3 linked regions of the Rattus norvegicus genome follow. The protein of the gene in region 1 interacts with the protein of each later gene in a pairwise test. Links are inferred from orthologs where the notes say so. Each region holds a gene or a part of one and is shown on either strand. Other genes may lie near its edges.

The links. The genes of interacting proteins can lie anywhere in the genome.
Region 2: the proteins of Mapk9 (region 1) and Wdr62 interact in binary tests that used the Homo sapiens proteins (3 or more experiments, as listed by UniProt). The two-hybrid records come from large-scale screens. The link is inferred for Rattus norvegicus from reciprocal best matches to the Homo sapiens genes MAPK9 and WDR62.
Region 3: the proteins of Mapk9 (region 1) and Shmt1 interact in binary tests that used the Homo sapiens proteins (3 or more experiments, as listed by UniProt). The two-hybrid records come from large-scale screens. The link is inferred for Rattus norvegicus from reciprocal best matches to the Homo sapiens genes MAPK9 and SHMT1.

The regions. Positions count from the first base shown.
Region 1 is NC_086028.1:34,668,927-34,674,025, forward strand, and holds the start of Mapk9 (mitogen-activated protein kinase 9), read left to right. Parts: upstream 1-1,846; 5' UTR 1,847-2,057; intron 2,058-5,099. UniProt on the Homo sapiens protein: Serine/threonine-protein kinase involved in various processes such as cell proliferation, differentiation, migration, transformation and programmed cell death.
Region 2 is NC_086019.1:94,619,166-94,623,830, reverse strand, and holds part of Wdr62 (WD repeat-containing protein 62), read left to right. Parts: intron 1-286; coding exon 287-352; intron 353-889; coding exon 890-1,017; intron 1,018-1,319; coding exon 1,320-1,420; intron 1,421-1,728; coding exon 1,729-1,833; intron 1,834-2,003; coding exon 2,004-2,135; intron 2,136-2,442; coding exon 2,443-2,557; intron 2,558-2,679; coding exon 2,680-2,809; intron 2,810-2,887; coding exon 2,888-2,939; intron 2,940-3,062; coding exon 3,063-3,725; intron 3,726-4,241; coding exon 4,242-4,399; intron 4,400-4,491; coding exon 4,492-4,665. UniProt on the Homo sapiens protein: Required for cerebral cortical development. Plays a role in neuronal proliferation and migration.
Region 3 is NC_086028.1:45,975,986-45,980,650, reverse strand, and holds part of Shmt1 (serine hydroxymethyltransferase, cytosolic), read left to right. Parts: intron 1-452; coding exon 453-568; intron 569-892; coding exon 893-1,053; intron 1,054-3,379; coding exon 3,380-3,461; intron 3,462-4,375; coding exon 4,376-4,588; intron 4,589-4,665. UniProt on the Homo sapiens protein: Interconversion of serine and glycine.

The sequences.
Region 1 (5,099 bases):
CCCCTGTACTCGTTTTTTAATAACACCAATCTCTGGTTCTGTTTTCTTTGGTGGTTCTAAAGCGGGTGGCAGGAAAGAGCTGAGGTGAGGACCGGTGTGGACAGACGCTCACAAAATGAACCTGTCTCAATGCAGCACACTCAGGAACTATGGAGAATTTTAAGCAGGATCAAACCATACGCCCTCTGGTGGCCAACATGGGGGTGGCCAAAGGAAGACTTTGGCGGTTGGGCATTGTTAACTTGACCTAGTCATATGTGAGAAGAGAGACTCTTAACCCAGACAATGCTTCTGTAAGATTGAACTGTAGAAAAGTTTGTAAGGGCATTTTCTTCACTAATGACTGATGTGGGAGGGCCTAGCACACTGAAGGCAGTTCCATCCCTAACTTAATAAGCTGTGTTCTTCCCTTGCTTCTGCTTTGGTTCCTGCCTGCTGGTTCCTGCCTTGAGTGTCCTACTTCCTTCAATGAGGAGTGGCCTGAGAGTTGTAAGCCAAAATAAACCCTTTCATCCCCGAAGTGCTTTCTGGTCATCTTGCTTTGTCACAATATGAAAACAGAATAAAACAGAGATACTGTCTATCCCTTTCTCTATCCCACTTCTCTGTGCCTCCACCCCCCTGGCTCAGTGCTTGAAACCGGAGTCACAGATCTCTTCAAATTCTGCCGAGATTCATGGGGCCTTCTATTCTCCTGATCTTCCTATATGCAGAGCCCGATTCCCTGGCTATTCCTTGGCATCCTACTACAGCTGTACCACTTGTCAACTACTGTCAGCATTTTTCCAATCCCTTATAGGCCAGTCCTCAGCCTAACCTGTTTAGAGCTTTTCCTCAGTGCGTTCAACCTCTCTTGTCTCACTTGCAGTCTTTCGATCAAAGCTCAGAGTAGTCAGAACCCTAAATTCTGTGCTTTCCAAACGTCTTATTCACCTCAGACCTTCTGGAACCTATTTGAGAGACAGAGGGCTGTAGGAGCGTCAACAAAAGCAGCAGTGTCAAAGACCGCTGTATAGAAGCCCTTCAGCATTGGAATGACGCCCTCCTCATCCCTCTACACCAAAGCAGAAACTTGTTCCTTACAACAGTCCTCTTTAGGTCACACCCCGCCAATCCCCTCACTGACTCACCAGCGTCATGGTCACCGTTTCTCCAGCCCCCACCCTCTGGACATCTGGCTGCATCCTTGTTATGAGCCCACTCAGTGTGGCTTACGCAGCGCATCCGCCTTAGTGAACAACAAACCCCAAGGCTCTGTGGCTTGTCCTCCCTCCTCCTCCCGGGCCGTTATACTCCAGGTTCCCAATCTTGCCCAGGTCTCCTGTCTAACCCGGTTGTTTCCAGTCCTTTTACCCCCTTTTTTTCCCAGGGGAGAGCACGAACGATTATGCAGTCGAGTTTCCAGCATTTGGAGAAATCGCAGGGCCGCCTCTCCACTTGCACCTGCTGCAACAGAGCCTGACTAGGCTCCTACACTGTAGCAAAGTCACGCTTCGCCCCTCCCCAGCTCTCGCTCCTCTTGGCCCACCCTCTCCGGCGCATGCGGGTCCCCTGGCCCTGGAAGGCGGGCTCAGGAGCTGGTCCTAGATTGACTTGGATCCCTAGTCCTCTGCGCACATTGGCAGACGCGCTTATAGCAAGCAGACGGCCAGGCGGGGAGCCGCCTAGGGGGCGCCACTTTGCACTAGGGTATCCAGAGCGCGCCACTGGCCTCGCCCACACCAACCCTCAGCCACGCCCTTACTGCCCAGCCTTGGCCCACCCCCAGTCTCGATTGGCCCCGCCTGCCTAGATATCCTTGTTCTGATTGGCTGGCCTGAGAATCCGTCAGACTGAGCGCGGCGGCGGCGGCGGCGGCGGCGGCAGCTGCGGAGCTGAAGGGAACCCGACCGGAAGGGTCGCTGCGCCCCGCGCCCCTCACACCCACTGCGGCGGCGACGGGGCGGAGCAGAGCGGGGCGGGGCGGCCGGGTCCGGGTCCTGGAGCTGGGAGCCGCCAGAACGCATCGCCGCCAGCGTGCCCTCCCTCTGCCTCCGGCGCGGCGGCGCGGAGCCGAGGTGAGCCCGGCGGGCGGCTAGGCCTGGCGGGGCTGCTCGGGCCGCGAAGGCCTGGGGTGCGGGGGGTGGGCTGCTCGGCACTGCCTGGCTTTCCACGGTTCCGCAGTCGTTCTCTCTCGCCTGGTGTCTGCTGCCCAGGGCTGCAGGCCGGCTGTCTGGCCCGGGCCCAGCAGACCTGCCCGCAGGAGTCTGTGGGCGCCTTCTCTCCAGCTGTGAGGCATGCTGCTGTACTCCGCTGCATGCCCTGGAGTCTGGGCTCTGATCCCCGCGACCTTGGCGGTGACTCTGACCCTCACTGGCCCTCTGCTTTCCCCTCCGCAGTAGTGGTAAAATGTCTAGGGTTTGGTTGGGGGTTGTTATCGGGCAGTGTAACTGTCTCAAAGCACTAGGGCAGAGAAGCCTAAGGCGCACAGTTGAGGGCGTCCGAGTGGGTAAATGCTCCCTTACTGGCACGAGTGTCGTAGGAACTCTCATCCGCTTAGAGTCCTCCCCCACTTCTCCCCCCAACCCCCGCCCCAGTGCCTTGTCATTCATCTTCAGTGCCCAGCAAAGAGCCAGAGTGGGCCCTGCCCACCTCCTCTGCCACTCCCTTCCCTCCTAACAAGAAGCAGATCTCTGCTCTCCTAGCCTATTCACCTCACCTGCTTTGGACATGCCAAAAATCATTTATTTACCTCAGGACCTTTGCACTTTGACTTTTCCATGTTCGGAGTTGTCTATAAGATTTTCGCCCTGCTGTCTCTTCTCGTATCACTTCCTCCTGTGGTTCAGTGTCTTGTTATTGGCGAGGCCTGCCTTGACCACCCTTTTCCCTCGCTTAGTCATTCCCGTTCATCAGTTTAGTTTTCCTTCCAGCACTGACTCTGGTTTGATGCTATCTGATTTATAGCCCAGTTTTTGTATAGCACTGTGAATACAGGTAGTTGTCTGGTATATTGACTCTCGTCTCTAGAGTCAGATCAGTGAATGAGCAGTAAGACCATCCCTGCCTATTATCTCTGCTTTGTCCATTTTGTTGGTGACTTTTAACTTGTGAAACTTGTAAGCAAACAGACTCTTATTCTCATTTTGTGAAATGTTTTAATGTTTTTAATCTCTTTCTAGCACCTGTCAGAACAATTTGTGATTAAAAAAAATTACATTTTTGCTAAGAGTTTTGCTCGAGCTTCCTTCCACACGTTCAGGAGTTATCTACTGAATTCTGTATTATCTAGGTCATGCTTTCTGCTGGACTCTAAGGACACAAAGGAGATAGCAACAGGGTACCTTCCCCCAGAGAGTCCAGGAGCCCCGTAGACACAGACTGGCAAGCACACAGTTCTAGGACAGGATGTGACACCAGCTGTAGTGAAGGGTCTGTGCCCTAGAAATGGAGGGTGTGGGGTGGGGGTGCTGGAGGGCCTTGAGCAGGGACGGACACAGAAAGTGAAAGGGCAAGATCAACAGGGAACTTTGCTCAGCCTGTGGCCAAGAATTAGCCCTCCGAGGCAAGCGTGGCATTGTGGAGTGCTGGAGACCCCTGGAGGTCCAGAACTTCGTTCAGCCTTTTTTTAAGAGCCAGGATTCCAAGTTTGTATCCGGACTCTGATATTTTAGCGTTGGCAATAGCTAATTAAAACGAGCCATTTGGTGCCCCGCCAAATGCGGACCTCATGCAGCACCGCTAACCTCCTGAGCAGGCAGTGTGGGAGGGAGAAGCTTCGAGGAGCAGGAACAGTAGCCTGAGGCCAGAGGAGCTAGGCCCTGTTCACCCAGATACCAACCAGGTTCCACAGAGGAAGAAATGGAGGCCCACAGTGCTTCAGTAGTCTGCTTCAGCGCAGGCAGCCAGTGAGAACCTGAAACCAGATTGCCCCTCCATCTAAGGTTCTCAGCTCTCTTTGTGTTTGCCTTCCATTAGCCAATCTATAAACGTTTCTCCTCTCCTTTCAGGAGAGTCCTGCATAGTTAAAAATAATTGTTGTTTTGGGGGCATAATCTCTAGAGACCTTTTGCTTTCCTGAGGTTTCAATTTGCAGGGTCTCAGGACTTTATAATTACTCGTTAACAGATGCTTCGCTCTATCCTTTAAATAAATGGCCAGGAGTGTACTTGAATGTGTCAGTTTCAAAAGAAAAAAGGCTTAACCTTCTGTACTAAGAGAAATGCCAAACGGATTAGTTATTAATGAGTGAACCAATTTTTAAAAGCTTATTATATATAGGATAAAACAAAATCTGATTTTAAAAGAAAAGTATTAATTGGTCAGTAGGGCTGCTATTTTTGACTAAATATGAAGTTATCTTTTACACCTGGCTAGGAAGGCGGCAATTTTATTTTAAAAACAATAATTCTTAATGGTTTGTACTTGGCCACCGTGTGAGTTGGATTTCAACAGCAGCGTTTAGTTGTTTGTGATGGGGACTTTCAGATTTGTTATAAAGTGGATGGCTTTACCAGCGTCTACACGTTTTAACTATGGCAGTCTCTTTTCATCCCTGATCTCAGAGCATGTAAACTCTCCTCACGTTGTGTTGAAGCAGATCCTTGACATCCCGTCATTCTGTCCATGAACTTTTTAGTCTATTTCGCTAAAACAAACAAACAAACAAACAAGGTTCTCTTAAAATTTTAAAAGCAGCCATTCTTTCATAGCATCAAGTAACCAGTCAAAACTTGAATATCTAAGTGTCTTGTGTATCTTACAGTTTTTGTAATCATTTGAAGTTTTTGTTGTGATTATTGGTTGATGTCTTTTCAGTTCTCTCTGTTGGCTTTTATCTTTTGGTGCTTATTGTTTTGGGGTTGTACGTTTGTTTCTTCTTTCAGATATGGCTTCCCACTCACTATGTAGCCTCAAATCCACTGTAATCCTCCTCTCTCAGCCTCTCGTGTGCTAGAATTATAGTCAAAAGGCACCACACTCAGCTACATTTCTTTAGTTCGTTGCTTTTCCCTCTTCTGTTTTCCTTGTGTTCACTTGTGGAAGCAGCTGGTGGTTCTGGAGTACCTCCCTGGTTGGTAAAACCCAACCATGATGCCATCTCAGCATTGTAATATAGT
Region 2 (4,665 bases), on another chromosome or scaffold:
ATCTTTGGGAGTGGGTCACTCAGAGGCTTGACCAAGCTCTTCAAGCTTGGGCCCCAGGATAGACTTCTCTTCTAAATGGGGAGCGCTCAAGTGGGTGAACCCTAGATTAGCCCCTCCCTGCCTCTGACCTGAGGTAAGAGGCTTGCCTCTCTTGTCTTAGTTTTCCAAATAATGGTTCTATTGCCTCAGAGGACTCACAGATGCAGGGCTCGGACCTTACTCTTCCTTCCTCGGGGGCAGTCCTTTCCCATGCTCATGCATACATTTCCTCTTTGCTGTGGTACAGTGCTCACCAGAGAATGGACACACGGCCCCGGGAGAAGGCCTGGTGAGCTACCTTTGTCACTCAGAGGTACTTGCCACCTACATCCCCACAGAGCATGTTCTACCTCCTGACCCAGAGTCAGTACCCACGCACCCCACTGAGGGAGCCCATGTTCTCACTTCTCATGAACTGGTTTGCCTGATTTGTTGTGTTTTGAGACAGTCTGATCGTGTAACTCTGGCTAGACAGGAACTCATTACATAGACTAGGCTGGCCGTGAGCTCAGAGACCGTCTGTCTCTGACTCTGGATGCTGGGGCCTTGTGTGTGTGCCGCTGAGCCTGTCCGGTTAGTGCTTTGCTTATTCTTGGTTGTCCTGTAAACAGACAGAGGTTAGGCCTCCTCTGGCCTTAGGCCAGACTATACCTTATCTATAAAGGGGCTGCTTTTGCCAACATCGGGGAGGAGGTCTGGCCAAGGGCTGACTTCACACTGTCTCTGATGTGGTGTCTGGCAGTGGTGTCCGTGGGGTCACTCCTCTGCCACTTGTGCATAACCGCTGGCAGCATTCAAGGACCTGGGATGAATCTGGCTACCTCAGAATGGCTCTGCTCTTCACTCCTAGTCAGGGAGCCCCAAAGAAGACAGCCGAGGACACCCCTCCTACCTGCCTCTACAGAGGGAAGGCACTGAGACAAGAGAACTCATCCTCTGCTCCCCAGAGGTGGAAGTGACAGTTACAGGGATGCACAGGTGAATGTCCTATGCACCACAGGGAGCCGTAGTTGCAGAGAGGGGGCCCTGGTGAGAGGCCCTACCTGGAAAAACTGTTCTCCCAGTGGCTTGTGTGAGTGGACATGGGAGAGTTGAGAGGCTCTCTCAGACAGACTCAGCTGCAGCCTCATTTTCCTTGGTTCAGTCCTGGGTTGGATGAGGGGTTTTGTTTGGAGGCAGGAGAGGCTGGGGTGTGCTCTGGGAGCAGGGTGTGGGCCTCATGGTTGCGGGCAAGGCCAGCTCTTCATTGCCTGTATAACCCCACCCTGACGGTGTTGCAGGGAGTATTATGAGGAGGCAGAGGCAGGACCTGAGGACCAGCAAGGCGATTCCTATCTCAGGGTCTCCTCCGTCAGTTCAAAGGATCAGAGCCCTCCTGAGGGTGAGTGGGGAGCAACCAGGCACCCTCATGGTCTGCAATGGCCTCTGGGCACTGGTAGAGGCCGTGATCCAGTTTTCTGATGTTGATAATGCCACAGAAAACAAAGGCGTTCCTGCCATTACCTGAGTATGCTAAGCCACTCGCTGAGCACCCAGCTCTGCCCCTGCTTGATTGGGGGACTTTGCTGGACCATAGAATGTAGGGGATACATATAGATCACCCCATCCTCCAGATGGGAAACAAATTCCGAAGCCTCTGGAGTGGGCCGTCTCCCCCGGGCAGGCTCCTGACACCCCCTCTCCCTTCAGACTCAGGGGAATCAGAGGCTGAACTGGAGTGCAGCTTTGCTGCCGCCCATGTCTCAGCTCCTCGAACGGACCCTGGCCCTCACCTCACCATGACAGGTAAGCCAGGTAAAGGTTCCTATCAGCCCTGAGCCTCAGTTTCCTCAATGGAAGACTGCCATTTCCTTCTCAGCCTGGTAGCAACCAGGAATGTGGCAGGCAAGTCTGGATTTCTCCATTGTCAAGCGTCGCCTGCTGTGACTCAGTGCTGACAACTCTCCACCCTGCCTCCCATCCAGAGCACTCAAGTACAGACGAGCTTGCCCAGCCTGGGGTGCCGGGCTTGGGCAATGGCTCCTTACCCCAGACGCCTGAGCAGGAGAAGTTCCTCCGCCACCATTTTGAGACTCTTACTGATGCCCCTGCTGAAGGTAGGACCTGACTTGCACCCTGGTGTGTGTGTGTGTGTGTGTGTGTGTGTGTGTGTGTGTGTGTGTGTGTGTGTGTGTGTGTGTCTGTCTGTCTGTCTGTCTGTCTGTCTGTCTGTCTGTCTTGCACCCTGGTGTCCTGGTGTGTGTATGTGTCTGTCTAGTGCCAGGCACAGTGTGGGTGTTCTTGAGCAGTCTTCCATGGTCAGGTGGTGAAAGATGGGTAAGAGAGCAGACAGTTTGGCCCCTCCATTCATACCTAAGGCATCTGAGATGTCAGCAGCCTGAGGGCCTATGGGTGTCTTCCTAGAGCTCTTTCCTGGATCACTGGGAGACATAAAGATCTCAGAGACTGATGACTATTTCTTCAATCCCCGGCTGAGCATCTCCACACAGTTCCTCTCCCGCCTCCAGAAGACCTCCAGGTAGAAGCTAGAAACTACCTATGCTCCCCTCTTTCTACCCCAGTCCCAGGTAGAAACACCCCCTCAGTTACCCTAGGATAAGGTTATGTGAGCGTGCCTTTCCCACCTGGCTTCCTCCCCAGGTTCCCTCCCCGGCTGCCCCTGCACCTTATGAAGTCTCCAGAGGTTCAGCCTGTGGGCCAAGGGGGCAACCAGCCCAAAGCAGGGCCCCTGAGAGCAGGTACTGGCTACATGTCCTCAGATGGGACCAATGTGAGTATTGGGGTCACTCTCTCAGGACACAGGGCTGCAAGCCAGGAGGCCTTCTCTTACCAAGAGCTGTGCTTGCAGGTCCTCTCTGGGCAGATGGCTGAAGAGACTCCAGAGGCCTCGTGTCTACCAAGTAAGTCTCCCTAATCCTAGAGGAACAGCCCTGGGTACCCAGCAGAGCCATGGGAGTGTCTGTTCAGATTTGAAACTTTTTTAGGAGGCAGGGGTGCAAGTGAACCATCTACTTCTTTTACAGCCCCTCCCATCACAGGCCTGGCATCCTGTGTCCCTCCTTCCTCAGTGATACCCACAGACAGGAAGCCTCCAACACCCACGTCTGGACTGACCACAGGCCGGGAGCAGAGTATTCCCGCCCCATCTCCGTGTTCTTACCTGGAGTCCACAACAAGCTCACATGCCAAGATGACTCGCAGCACCTCTCTCGGGGACAGTGAGGGCCCTGTGACAGGCGAGCTACCCAGGCCACTCCACAAGCCCGTATCCCCCGGCCAGGAACCCCAGGCTGTTCCCACTACAGTAGCACTCACTTCTAGTGTCAAAGGCCATGAGCCTGCACTGCCTGCTTGGGGCAACCATGAGGCCCGAGCCAGCCTGAGACTGACCTTATCCAGTGTCTGTGAGCAGCTCCTCTCTCCACCGCAACTGGAGCCACCCACCACACCTGTGTGGTCTCAGGAAGCTGTGGATGTCCCACCTAGTATGGCAGTCACAGTAGCCAGCTTCTCAGCACCCAGCCCTGAAGACATGAGCACCCTGGGACTCCACAGTTCTGTGTTTCTTCCAAAGACCTCAGCCTCTGGGCCCCTCACCCCTCCTGCCCACCCCAACAGCCTCCAACTTCTAGAGACCAGGTCTAGGATGCCTGGCAGCACCCCTGCTCTCCTGGAGCCCACTCCTGGTGAGTACTGCCCTTGGGAGGCGGCTAGAGCCTTAGCCTGTCCCCTGTGCTGCTTGACTCACCTCCCCAAGTGGGACATCAGCCTGGCCACTGGGGAGGGCCAGGTTCACTCGTTCACCCATCCATTCCCTCATTTACATAGTCGGTGAGCACATGCTGGCCTTTGTTCCAGCTCCTGCTCCTGCATACATGAGACACAGTAGCAAACAGCAAAGGTTGATTCCTACCCTAGGGGAGAAGCCCAGACAAAAACCTTAAGTGTCAAGCATATCATGGTGATAGAAGCTAGTGAGAACAATAAGAGAAGGGCCGGCAGTGCAGCTTAAGTTTCAGGGTGGCAGCAAAAGGTTTTAGGGGATAGGTAACGGCCAGCAGAACCCTATGGGAAAGAGGAGCCTAGGGGCCGGAGACAGTGGTCCAGGACAAGCAGTCTTTTAGCCTGGCCAGCCACCTGGCTTGTCTTGGGCCATCTAGAAAGTCAAAGTATCCTAGCCATTTACTCCTCTCTACGCCTAGATGCATCGAGTGGGAGCCCAGACAGCCCTGGACACTGTGGGGAGCCTGGGCGCCGAGCTGAAGTCCCACCCCCAGGACCCCTTGAGCTAGACAGTGTGGAATCAGTCTTGTACAGGCTGCAGACTGCCTTCCAAGAAGCCCTTGACCTTTACCGAATGGTAAGCCAAGGAGCCCAGGGCAGGGTGGGACAGTGGAGAGGGCTCCCTGACACAACCTGGATGTCCTCTAACAAGTTTGCCACCCCTTACAGTTGGCCTCCAGCAACCAGCTGGGTGCGGAGCAGCAGCAGGCACAGACTGAGCTGGCCTCCGCCTTCCACTGGATCCACCACCAGCTGGAAGCCAGCAACTGTGTGGGTGCAGCTAGCGTGGCCCCACCCCTCACACTGCCTAGCCCAGGCCCTCCCTCCCCACCTACACTTTGT
Region 3 (4,665 bases), about 11 Mb from region 1:
CAATCAGGCTATCTAGCGATCCATTTATTTAATACCACCATCGGGCTATCTATTTATTTATAACCGTTGTCATCAGGCAAAGAACAAACAGAATCTGACAGTGTTCTGCACATGTGTGCATCTGTTCCAATGGAAACAGGAGGAACATTAAGATTACAGTGCATTCTGTCCTGAGATTCCCTCGTTTCTTTCCCTCCCTTCCTCTTTTTCTTTGGACAGAATCTGTGTGGAGTTCCAGCTGCCCTGGAACTTGTGCTTCTGCCTTCTGGGGCTGAGACTAAGGGTGTGCGCCACCAGCCCTGGCCTTACTACTGATGTTTTACCAGAGCCTCACAGCAACCTTAGAGCAGGACCACTCCCCTCAATATTCTCTGCCTACCCTTGCTTATCTTTGGCCTGTGCTAGGACAGAGTTTGGGCCCAGGTGGATGTGGACCATGCTTCTCTTCACAGGTATTATGGTGGGACTGAGTTCATCGATGAGCTGGAGACGCTGTGTCAGAAGCGTGCATTACAGGCCTACCATCTGGATCCTCAGTGCTGGGGCGTCAATGTCCAGCCTTATTCAGGTGATTGCTGCATCCACACAGACCCTGGGTAGCTCCTTAGGCCTGGTTCTAGGGTATTCCAGTCCCCAGGTCAAATCCTACAGAAGGCTTCTTGTAAATAACAAACAAGCCAATGGAATGTGTGAATCTGTCTCCATTGTGCTTGGATTAGCTCTGCACTCCCTCCCAGGTAGCACTCTGTCCTAGAACTCACTATTAGTGGGACTGGGACAGGGTTGCTTTCCAAAGCTCAGGAAAATCATGGTGATGCCTGCCTAGTAGCCAAGCTCCTAAATGCCACATTGTGTCTCATGGGTAGAAATAGTCATGTCTTCTCTGTTTTAGGCTCCCCTGCAAACTTTGCTGTGTATACTGCCCTAGTAGAGCCCCATGGGCGAATCATGGGTTTGGACCTGCCAGATGGTGGCCATCTGACTCATGGCTTCATGACAGACAAGAAGAAAATCTCTGCCACCTCTATCTTCTTTGAATCCATGCCTTATAAGGTAGGTAGGGGTGTGCACGCACACGCACTCACAGGTGCGTGTAGGGGTCTGGGGGCTCTTCTGTATTAACAGATGAACCAAACAATGAATATAAGGGGTTGGGGGTGTAGCTCAGCACTGCATGCGTGAGGTATTCACCTACCTGACCTTAGAAGGTGGATACAGTGGGTTCAAATGTTCAAGGCCACTTGGAGGGACAGAAAGCCCTGTCTAAAGGAAGGGAAGAGGGATAGGTTTGAGACCTCCCCTGACATGATGACATATGCTTGCTGTCCTAACACTTGGAGGCTAAAGCAGGAGGTTTCTGAGTTTTGAGACCTGAAACTCAGTGAGACTTTGAGTTAAAAAAAAATACTAAAAAAACAAAAGACCTAAGGACTCACATCACCATTATGATAGGACCAATAGTGGGACCTGGAGCTGTCTAGGAGCTCCTGCTGAGGACCTGGGTTCAGTTCTCAGCACTTGCCTAGTGGCTTTTAGGACTGTCTGTAATTGCAATCCCAGGGAATCCCAAACCTGATCTCTACTAGTACCAGGCATGCATGTAGTACACACACACACATGCAGGAGAACACTCAGGCACATACGATGAATAAATCCTAAAGACAGCTGGGTAGGAGACGTGCATATTTCCTGTGGGTTGGCGGTGTGCTCCTCCTGCTGTCCCTCTCGGTTTTACTTACTGTGTAACCGGCTGTCCCTGGTGGTTTTCTGTCTGCCACCATGAAATAGGTGGCAGTGAGTTGTTCTACTCAGCTAAATATTAGGTGCAATTTTCTTTTAAGAAATTTGAGGGGGTTGGGGATTTAGCTCAGTGGTACAGTGCTTGCAAGCGCAAGGCCCTGGGTTCGGTCCCCAGCTCCAGAAAAAAAAAAAAAAAATTTGAGGGCGGGCAAGATGACTAAGCAGGACAAGGTACTTGCCACCAAGCCTGGTGACCTGAATTCACTTGGTAAAGCCAATGCCTGTAAGTTGCTGTCTGACCTCTGCATGTGCACCAGGTACTCAGGCGCCCAAACATGAACAAATACATAAATGTGATGTATCCTATTGACTGTTAAGTCAGCCAAGTCTCAGCTGTAATAGCTCTATGTGCATGCAAGTGAATCTGTTTTGTGTGGACAGCCTGAGGTTTTTTTTCTTTTTTTTTTTCTTTTTTCTTTTTTTTCGGAGCTGGGGACTGAACCCCACTGAGCTAAATCCCCAACCCCCAGCCTGAGGTTTTATATCACATTTCCTCTGTAGCCTTTGATGAGATGTTGGCCAGCTTCATGCTGTCTTTACTCCATGAAGCCCATTCCTGAGCTTCGGTGCCCAGTTTTTCTCAAGCGCTGTCCTTGCTGCAGCACTTTGGCCATGACAGATAGACCCTGTGGTGGCCTGTCACAGGGGGACATGAGCTGGCTTGGGTCCTGTGAGCACAGGCCCTTCCTTTGTGGCCTCTCTCCGCAGCTCTTCTGTCTTTCACTTCAGCCCCTCCCCAGCTCCACTGGGCCAGGTGTTTCCTTTTCTAAAGAGTGAACCTCTGGAGAGAGCTCTGTGAGCAACATTAACCTTCTGCCACTGTGTTTCTAGCTCACATCTCATATGTGCTTCCATTCCCTTCTGAAAATGGAGACTCCCTCCCTCTCTTTGGTCCTCTTCTACTTGGTGGCCTCTGCCCTGCCAGAAGAAGCGCTGGCCTTGCTGGCCTCCGCACGCTGCTGGGTGGTTTGTCTTTGTTGGTGGGTGTTTGTTTTAAGGTAGATTTTTAATTTACATGTATGAGATTGTTCCTGAGTGCATGTTTACACGTGTGTGTGTGTGTGTGTGTGTGTGTGTGTGTGTGTACATACGTACGTCTGTCACGTGTGTCTCTGGTGCTTGAAGATCTCAGAAGAGGGCATCCGGTTGACTGGAACTGCAGACAGTTGTGTTCATCTGTGTGGGTGCTGTGAGGCAAACCTGTGTCCTCTCGAGAACAGCAAGTGCTCTTCCTCTGGAGCCACTTCTCCAGCCTGTCTGTTGTTTTGATTAGTGTCTCATGCTGTAGCCCAGGCTGCTGAGTAGCTTAGATTACAGGCTTGTGCAAGCAGGCTTGGCTGTGTCTTTCTCATTTTCCTAGGCTCTTTGTTCTATAATATGGGGCAGTACCCAGGGCTAAGGCTTCCCTTTATCCTGAGGCCCCTCTGAGAGCTCCCAAGTCTGCATATTTGGCCCTTTATATCCTTGGACAGGCTGAATGCAGTGCCCTGTCTCAGGCCCCAGTCCAAGTTGTGGCAGATTAAAGGTCTCAGGTGGCTGGACAGGGGAAGCAGCCATACCTTTGTCTTGGTCCCGACAGGTATACCCAGACACTGGGTACATCAACTATGACCAGCTAGAGGAGAATGCCAGCCTCTTCCACCCGAAGCTGATCATTGCAGGTGAGCGGCAAGTGGGAAACAGCCTGGTTCCTGGGCAGGGAGGGCCTCTGCCTCCTACAGAAAAGGATATAAAGACATCTGATCCTTCAGCTCACTGTGGAGAGCTCAGGACATTAGCTTGAGACATATTCTGTCCTTTTTAAGACTTGAGTTGTAAGGAGCTAATCTTCAAGGCAGACCTGCCGTCTTCATGAGGTCAGCTATGCCTGCTTGCCTGGGTGTGTCTTGTTTGTGGATTGGGCTCATGGTTAGTTGACATTTGTCCTCCTAAAAGGAGGGAGCTTGAAGGGTCATTGAACCTTCTTCACCTGAGTGTCAGGCCACTTCTCCCAGTCCTCTGCTCTGAGTGCCTCCATGAGAGGCCTGAGTATGTAGGCTGGGGAAGACCAGGGAGAGGGAGCCTTCTACATAGAGCTGTGGAGAGGCCATCACACTGTGAGGACCTTCCAGTGCAGCCGCATTTGCTTCACCTACACTTTAGTCACAAGCCTCTCAACCCGTAAGTAATCCCAGTAAGCTCATTGGTTTCCCCGGGTCAACTTGGACTTTAGTTTGTTAGTGGATCATTTGGGAGAAGGCTGACACTGTTCACATCCCTCCCAGGAAAGAAATTTACCAACAGTCATCGACAGTAGGTCAGTGGGTCATACCTTAGGCTTTTCTTAACATGTTTCTAAACACAAAGATGGTTTTGTTTTATTTGATTGATTGAATGTTTTAAGACTGGCCTCTGCCTTCCAAGTGCAGGGATTAAAGACGTGCACCACCACACTCAGCTCAGGGATGGGTTTGAGGGCACACTACACATCTGTCCTCAAAGATTAGGGTAAGCTCTCCTTGCAGATATGTACACTCAGAAACCAACTCAGCTGCCTTGGACATCTTTGACACTCCCATGTCATCTCTTGTCCCAGGGACCAGCTGCTACTCCCGGAACCTGGACTATGCGCGGCTGCGAAAGATTGCGGATGATAATGGGGCATATCTCATGGCAGACATGGCACACATCAGTGGGCTCGTGGCAGCTGGTGTGGTGCCCTCACCCTTTGAACACTGTCATGTAGTAACCACTACAACCCACAAGACCCTGAGAGGCTGCCGTGCTGGTATGATATTCTACAGAAAGGGTAAGTTCCCCCATGCAGGGGCAGATACTGTGGGCTCACATTTCCTGTGTGGAAGAAACTGGGAAAACTTCAGACTG